2 linked regions of the Danio rerio genome follow. The protein of the gene in region 1 interacts with the protein of each later gene in a biochemical or structural test. Links are inferred from orthologs where the notes say so. Each region holds a gene or a part of one and is shown on either strand. Other genes may lie near its edges. The genes, in order: btk and sh3bp5a.

Region 1 (3,826 bases):
AAAGCCAGTCAAATACTGGAAACTGCTCTTATTTTATTCAGTACACAGCTAAATGAAGAAGATGAAGTGTAGTCTTTAATTAAATACCCCTCAGATTTCATTCACAGGAGAGAATGTTTTTAATAAAATATACACAGATATATTTACACTAGATTTATTCTAGATCACACTTTGTTTTACATTGTACTAAGTTAAACTTATATATTTAGTATATCAATACACAGCCAAATCAACAAAAATCAACACACAGGCATTATGCATACGCATGCGTAGTTTTTACTGTTAATGTTGCTTGTTATTATAATTGTGATATTAAAAAGTACATTTTATTTTTAGATGAAACTGAAAGAAATTTTATAAATACAGCAGAGCTTTGAGGAAAATGCAGGAAGAGGAGGGGGGGGGGTGAAATATCTAATGAGAAATCACATTTCAATCTCCTGTTTTTGCAATGTTTCAAACTTACACTAATATATGAAAACGTATGTAACTCATCGTTCACATTACTGGGTTTCTCAGGTAAAAGAAATGAACTGAGAAGGTTATTCAAGACAGCTTTCATAATGATTCTTGATTGCTTTAGGTGGACTGTATCCTTCATGTCTACAGATGCACAGTAGTTATATCTCTTGCATACTGAAAAGCAAATCCTTGATGACCCCAACAAGTTCCTGGAACGTGGGCCTCTCATCGGGTCTCTGCAAAAAAGGGCAAACTCTTTAGTTTGTCAAATCACATTTGAATTATCAGATAAGATATTAGATTAAAAAAAATGTTCAGTATACACACACAGCTATATATACCTCATGCCAACAGCTGTTCATAATGGCAAAGACATTTTCATTGGCCATTTGTGGACGATAAAGCCGGTGTCCTGCAGAAATCTTCTCCACAATCTCTGTGTTGTTCCACCGATCGTACGGCATTCTGCCCTGAGTGTAAATCTCCCACATCAAAACGCCTGTCAGAGAGATAATAAACAATAATTAGCACTGTTTTATTGACTGAAGGTAATCTATGCTGAAAATGTAGCTGTGACACACCAAATGCCCAGATGTCTGACTTGCTGCTGAACTTGCAGTAAAGGAGGACTTCAGGAGGTGACCAGCGCACTGGAAACTTTGATCCGACAGAGCTGGTGTATTCATCATCCAGAACATATCTGCAAGGACAGCAACAGTTAGTAGTAATAATAAGCTGAAGTCAAAGTTATAAGCCCTCCTGTGATTTTGTTTTGTCTTTTATTAAATATTTTCCAAATGATGTTTAACAGAGCAAGGACTTTTTCATAGAATTTCCTATAATATTTTTTCTTCTGGAGAAAGTCTTATTTGTTTTATTTTGGCTAGAATAAAAAGCAGTTTTTAATTTTTTTTAAAATCACTTTTAAGGTTAATATTATTAACCCCTGTTGGGGATTTCATTGTGTCTTGATGAATTTCTGATGAATGTATTACTCTCATTTATATGCTTATTTGAGTGATTTCAGTATTATTATCTATTATAGTATTACCCATACCTGTGGCATTATTATCAGGTATGTGTGCTTTGGTAAATAAAAAAGTAATTCTGTGTAAATGCAGTCAGAGATGAGAAGATAAATTAGAAGAGCAGCATTAATGTCACAATGAGGGTTGATTTATGGAAGCAAGGCCATAAGGACACCTGCGTTCTGTTCTGTAACTCATGATAAAGCACACCTGCACGTGTGCCCACACACTTGTACTGACATCTAAAGAATTATGAGCACTTATGAACTTCAGCTGAACTTACAGTTGACAGTTCAGTGAACAAGATGTATTGTTGAGCATTGTTTTTTGGCTGAGTCATCGCTTTTGAAGCAGGAAGGAAAGACCTTAACTGGACATGGGTAAGACCCCTAAAAGACCCTGAGACTTTATTGGTGGCGGGCACCTAAGAGAGTTAAGATCCCATTAGCGGAGGAGCTGATGGAGGTGTGTAATGTGTAAATTAGGGTGGAGTATTAAGACACAGAGATGTATTTAAACTGTATGCAAGCCTATGTTCGGCAGACACTCGAACGACCTCTCTGTTGTTACTGATGCTGTAACAATAAACTGCTTCGTCTAAAGACTTCGAAGATCTCAGACTTTGTCATTTTTTGAAAAGTTTGACTTAAAGACTAATATTTTTGCAGACCAGAATCTTTTTTCCACAACACCCCCTATTAATATTAATATTAATATTAATATTATTAAGATTCAGGGACAATTTACAGGTGGGCTAATAAATTAAAAGGTCTGTTAAACTGTATATATATATGTAAATAATTTAGCTTAAAAAGGAAATATGTTGATATTTTATAAGGTCATAATTTTCACAAGCGTCAATATGCTTTCATGTTTTAGTTTAATTTATTTTTTTGTCACATGTTGTACTTTATTGCAACAAATTTATTCCCAGTCTAAAACTCTGTCCGATTGGGTTCTGGTTTTTACAACGAGCCTCCTGAAAAGCACAGTATGGTCAACTCTGATTGACCAAACACCTAAACCATTTGTCAGAAATGCAGCACTTCTTACCTAGACTGCTAGTTTTCTTTTCCAAGGCTTTTAGAGAAAATTAAAAAAACTAAACAAAAAGAGATTCTGACAAAACCTTCTTTGTAAATCTCTTGAAACAGACGCCATCACACTTTTTTTTTTTATTTGGGTATCCCTTTACATTAAGCTAATATATAGTTTTAATCAGGTCTGGATCATGCTCTCTGTTATGCTTCAGACTGCATGATTTTAGCCCCGATTTTGACTCGGCGACAGGCTTTGAGAAATTGCTGACAAATGCCTGAAATTACAGGCAAATCGGTGCTCGTTCATATGAGTAACGATCACACAGTGTTAACCATCAAAGACGTGATCTGAGAGAATTGCAGATGAGTCGCTAACACCCTAAATGCTATATATCTGGAGCTGTGTGAAATGTGTTTTGATCTAAAGTAACATCGCCGATTACCTACAGCTAGGCGACGCGGTGTTGCAGTAGGTAGTGCTGTTGTCTCACAGCAAGAAGGTCGCTGGTTCGAGTCTCAGTTGGGTTTCCTCCGGGTGCTCCGGTTTCCTCCACAGGTCCAGAGACATGCAGTATAGGTGAATTGAATAAGCTAAATTGTCTGTAGTGTATGTGTGTGAATGAGTGTGTATGGTTGTTTCCCAATGATGGGTTGCAGCTGGAAGAGCATCTGCTGTGTAAAACATGCTGGATAAGTTGGCGGTTCATTCCGCTGTGGTGACCCCAGATTAATAAAGGGACTAAGCCGACAAGAAAATGTATGTATGACTGATTACCTACAGCCAATGAGAGAACAGCGCCCACAACTGTGGATACCTTTTACAGTCATTGGTGGATACCTGCAGGCCATCGGGAGGATGGGGGAGAAGTTAAAAGTGATTTGGACACAAGAAATGGAGGAAAAACTAGTGCAAATTTGGTCTGAGCAACCGGGCAACCTCAACCAAGTCAAAAAAAAAGTTTGAGAGAAATTGCTAATGTTAGTTCCCTTTAAAGTCATGTGAGTAAAATAAGTAGATTTTCTACCCCTCTAAAGTCTTCTTTCTCATTATGTAGTTAATATTAAAATATATAGGCTACTACGTGACCTCGTGTTTCCATGTCACTACTCGTCTGTGTTTGTTTGTGAAACGTAGTTTAGACAAAGTTGTCTGCGATTCTTCCTATAGTAAAGTCATGCAGTTTGAAACCCTTTGTCGCCGATCCATCTTGCAGTGTAAACACACCACCAACAGAACGCTGTCCCAGACAGTCATGCAGTGTGAAAACATTCGTGACACGACTACTTTGAAAACCA
Region 2 (4,607 bases), on another chromosome or scaffold:
TACACAGGCGTCAACAATAAAATAATATTTCTCTTCTTTTATTTTGGTCATGGTATTACTATTAAATTATATTGAAATACTTTGGGATACCATGCTGTAATCAGTTACCACAGAACTACATATTTTTGTAAGGATGCATATGCAAAATCTTTTAAAGGATATTATAAATTAGCTGAAACAAATCAAGGAAATGGACATTTCTTGTGCCAGTATAACCACTGGCAATTTACTCCTTGTTTGTATTCCAGTGAAGACGCAGAGTCTCCAGGGATTGGAATGACAAGCATTTTCCTAAACGACTTCTTAAGCAGTTGTGGCTTTCAGGGCAGGAATTCCAGATTTCCCCTGTTTGCTCTACAGATATAGACCTGTCAGTCACATACAGGGAACTTCCTATTGGTAGGTGGTGGAATGGAGGGCGGAGCTGAGCTCTTAGACTGGTTCCACTGTGAAATTCCGCCTGCAAACATTTTCAGCAGAAACAAGCAAGAGCTCAAAGCAAGCCTGTGGAAAGCTCACCTCCAGTTCTGTCTCCCATTGGTTGATGTTATCCGTGGACTGGTTCAGTTTCTCCAGCTCTCCCTGTGCAGAGATAAAGCAGTGGAGATTGCAGTTAGATGTCAGTGGAACAACATCTGGAAAGTGTTATTGATGTAACCCAATGCTAAAGTGAAGCTGAAATGCGCGCTGATGTTAGCTTCACGCTGATGACACACAGATGTTGTTTTCATTTGCAGATCATGCGTTTGTTTTCCTACATGGGTGGAGGATGAAAAACCAGTTCAACTAGCACAGTCTTCAGCACAAGGCTCTTTGCAGTGCTCTCGTATCAAGAGAAATGCCTTCTTTTATTGTAAAGGACGTTCTTCACGTGCACTTTTAAAGCAAAAGATGTTACAAAAAGATCTTTTGAATGATAAAACAAGCACTCAAGAAGAAGAAGATAAAGTATCAGGACAGACTTTAAGCTCTTAATTCTATATGAGAACTAAAAGAGTTTTCACAGTGATGCCATACAGTAGAACCATTATCATTCATTCATTTTCCTTCGGCTTAGTCCCTTTAGTCATCAGGGGTCGCCACAGCGGAATGAACCGCCAACTATTCCAGCATATGCTTTAAACAGCGAATGCCCTTCCAGCCGCAACCCAGTACTGGGAAATATCCATACACACTCATACACTACGGCCAGTTTACTTCATTCAATTCCCCTAAAGCGCATGTGTTTGGACTGTGGGGGAAACCGGAGCACCAACATGGGGAGAACATGCAAACTCCACACAGAAATGGCAGCGGTCCCAGCCGAGGTTCGAACCAGCGACCTTCTTGCTGTGAGGCGGCAGCACTACCTACTGTGCCACCGCATCGCCTATTATGTTTTATTTTTTTTATTATTCAAATGGACAAATTGTGACTGAGGAAAGTTGAATGTGCTGGCCAGTTTGTTATTCATCTTATAAATGACACAATAAGCTACAGTTTTCAATTTAAAACTTTTTTGTAAAGATATATGATTAATATTTGTCATTTTTTTTTTATTCTAATGATATAAGAAATATGTTTGATACAGCAAAAAGTGTAGTTATGACCCTAACCCTAACCTGACAAGCTAATTCAGCTAAAATGTGTGCTTAATGTCACCTAAATGCAGTATTTAAACCTCATGATTAAATAGAAAATGAGGTGAATAACTGCAAAAAGGTCCACTTATTGAGAAAAAAAACACCATTTTCACCAGGCTAGCTACGGCCCTGTGTAGTTTATTTTGAATAATCAGTTTGAAATGGCATTATGATCCGACAGATCGCACTATTATGTTTTTCGTTTTCTTTTTCATTCTTTTATAACCTATTTTAACTCATTTTAATTTGTTTTTATATGTTTTTAATAATTTTTATTGTCTGCATTTTATGTTCCTAAACTTGTCTTTTTTATTCCTGTTTATGTAAAGCACTTTGAATTGCCACTGTGTATGAAATGTGCTATATAAATAAACTTGCCTTGCCTTGCCTATTATGACTTTAAGACAACATTACTATTTTATTAACTGATTAGTCCTAAACTGCTAACATGATTTCTCTATATAGAATTCGTAAATAATACTTTTATGAAATGATTTTAAGAAGTAAAAGTCTGAATGTGCGAGTATAAGACCAACTTGCCCTTCAGAAACGACACTGAATCCTGCATGCAGTGCACGTGAGATCAATTGTTTCTTTACCAGAGGAAACTGAGTTCTAAATATGACGTCAAAGTAAACATGTATCAGATTGTCAATGCAACAATGAAACAATGTAACATAAAATAAGAGATGATGTAACGATTTGGGGTTCCCCTCATCAAATCAAACACCAGCTGGTTTTTATGACAATCTGAACAAGCATAGGGCTGGAATCGTATATTACACGACAAAATATGCTCGAGTTTTGCAGCTATACGTTTAAAAGCCCGTGCAATTTAACTTCAGTTCAGGTTTTGTCAAGGTTAAATAAGAATAAGTTAGACAATTCCACATATTTACTATGATAGAGCCTGTAGGAATCCCCTCAGCTTTCGTTTTAATCCGCTTTAAGCCTTTTTGTCGTTGTGAATTCTCGCATTGATTTCCATCTCATACCTGAATCCTCGGGTCGACCTCTTCTTCCTCCAGAGACTCCGAGTCTTCATCAGATTTGTTCTCTTTCTCCGGCTCGTTCATTTTGCTTGTAGACGTGATTGTTTTTCTTTACCGGCTGAACAAAGCGTGTCTCTGTCCGGGATAACGGGTTCCAGATCCGCGCATCTGCGGTCACTCCATTAGACAGCCAGAAAACGCGATTAAAAGAGACTAAATCGATCCCTCACATTAGATATGAAAGATATCGTGCTTATACCAACACACACACACCCGTAGAAAACACCGGCAGAAGGAGAATGAGATCTGCCGAGATCCTGCCCGCCTCCTCCGGCACAAACACCCGCTGCTGTGCTCAAGAGGAGGGTCACTACAGTTCACACACACACACACACGCACACAGAGAGAGAGAAACACGGGAAATAACTGCTTTATCTGCGTTTTTTAGTTAGTATTAGTGTAAAAATGTAACAAAAAATATTGCAATACATACTTGAATGATGCTTTAATTTATTTTAATAGGCTAATCAAGTTTCAACTATTTTACTCAAAGTTTAACTTATTATTTGTTGTCAGTTGGTGTAAGTTGAGATGACTAGAAAAGTTAATTTGCCCGCACACTCAATTTTTTTATTTGTATTTTTTATTTTTGCATGTTCAGACTTCATATTTAAAACAAGCTAAACGCAATTTTGGCGATTTTTGCGAGAAACTTAATTTTTTTTTAAAGTTTAGTCCACTTTTGTAACAATAACTTAACTGATTTATGTTGAGACAGCATGAATAGCCGTAACAAAAATCGGATTATCCATATTTCAACCTTATGTTGGTTAAAACAATTTAGAATTACTTAGAGTTTAAGCAAAATGTAAATTCCCGAATGTTCTAATAAACGTCTGTAAAAGTGTTTCCACTGCTTTGAGAAACATTGGGAAATGGCGCTCTCTGGTGGAGAACATTCGACATCATGCATGTGCAGCTCCTTGTAGACGAATAATCCCATCAACAACAAAAATCAACCTGCGATATTTGAATAATTTCATGATTATGTTTTGAGGTCAGTAATGTAATTAGACTGAATTCATAAATTATTGATTGTATATATTATAATTAAAATGGTTTAACATATATTTTTAGATATTATCTGTTAACTGTTTTACATATATACACTAAAAAACAATGAGTTATTTATTTTACCCAATGGTTGGGTTAAATATTTGGTGCTTTGTTGGGTTATTTTTAACCTTTATTAGTTTATATATTAATTACTCAACCAGTTGGGTTAAATATTTGGTGCTTTGTTGGGTTATTTTTAACCTTTATTTGGTTATTTATTTAATAACTCAACCAGTTGGGTTAAATATTTGAGTTTCAACAGTGAACCGATGTAACTGACACAAAACAGCTGTATTAATATGTGTGCGTAATGTTGTTTTTTCTTTATAAAGTTCATTTAAGCTGTAACTCAATAATGTTTTTTTTTTAATCAAATTACCTCTTCGTGTCGTGTTTTTTTTTTTTATCCGTTTCACCAAGACCATCTTTTATAAGTGTTTGTTTGTGGTTAAAATGTATTGTACATTGTGGACACTGAGTAAAGCCTGCTGCAGCTGCTGGACAGCCTCTACAGCACACAGAGCTCCATATTCTGCTCCATCAACACAGGATTTTCTGCCTGCACAGTTTATATCTGTCTTCTTTGTTCTGTTTCTTCATTGTTTGTGATTCCTAATTATTTTAACAAAAGTTTCTGGAACTAAAAGTAAATAAAGCGTTTTCAAATTTTTTTTAAAAGTATGTTATTTATTTACACAGCCATAATTATTAAACTAATAGTAGTACTAACAACAGTAATACCAGAATGGAAAACAATAACATTTAATCAAAATAACCCATTGCATTGAATTAAATTATGCAACCCAATGCACTGGGTTAAAATAACCCATAATTGGTAAGGTGCTATAATAACCTATGGATTATATGGTATTTTGAC

Evidence for each region.
Region 2: the proteins of btk (region 1) and sh3bp5a form a complex in vitro, tested with the Homo sapiens proteins (2 studies listed by BioGRID, with this or other methods). The link is inferred for Danio rerio from reciprocal best matches to the Homo sapiens genes BTK and SH3BP5.

Annotation. Positions count from the first base shown.
Region 1 is NC_133189.1:43,489,098-43,492,923, forward strand, and holds part of btk (tyrosine-protein kinase BTK), read right to left. Parts: intron 2,099-3,826; exon of another isoform or gene 1,163-2,098; coding exon 1,044-1,162; exon of another isoform or gene 1,011-1,043; intron 962-1,010; coding exon 804-961; intron 699-803; coding exon 621-698; 3' UTR 1-620. UniProt on the Homo sapiens protein: Non-receptor tyrosine kinase indispensable for B lymphocyte development, differentiation and signaling. Binding of antigen to the B-cell antigen receptor (BCR) triggers signaling that ultimately leads to B-cell activation.
Region 2 is NC_133194.1:2,323,544-2,328,150, reverse strand, and holds the start of sh3bp5a (SH3 domain-binding protein 5), read right to left. Parts: upstream 2,989-4,607; 5' UTR 2,699-2,988; coding exon 2,618-2,698; exon of another isoform or gene 583-2,617; coding exon 520-582; exon of another isoform or gene 249-519; intron 1-248. UniProt on the Homo sapiens protein: Functions as a guanine nucleotide exchange factor (GEF) with specificity for RAB11A and RAB25. Inhibits the auto- and transphosphorylation activity of BTK. Plays a negative regulatory role in BTK-related cytoplasmic signaling in B-cells.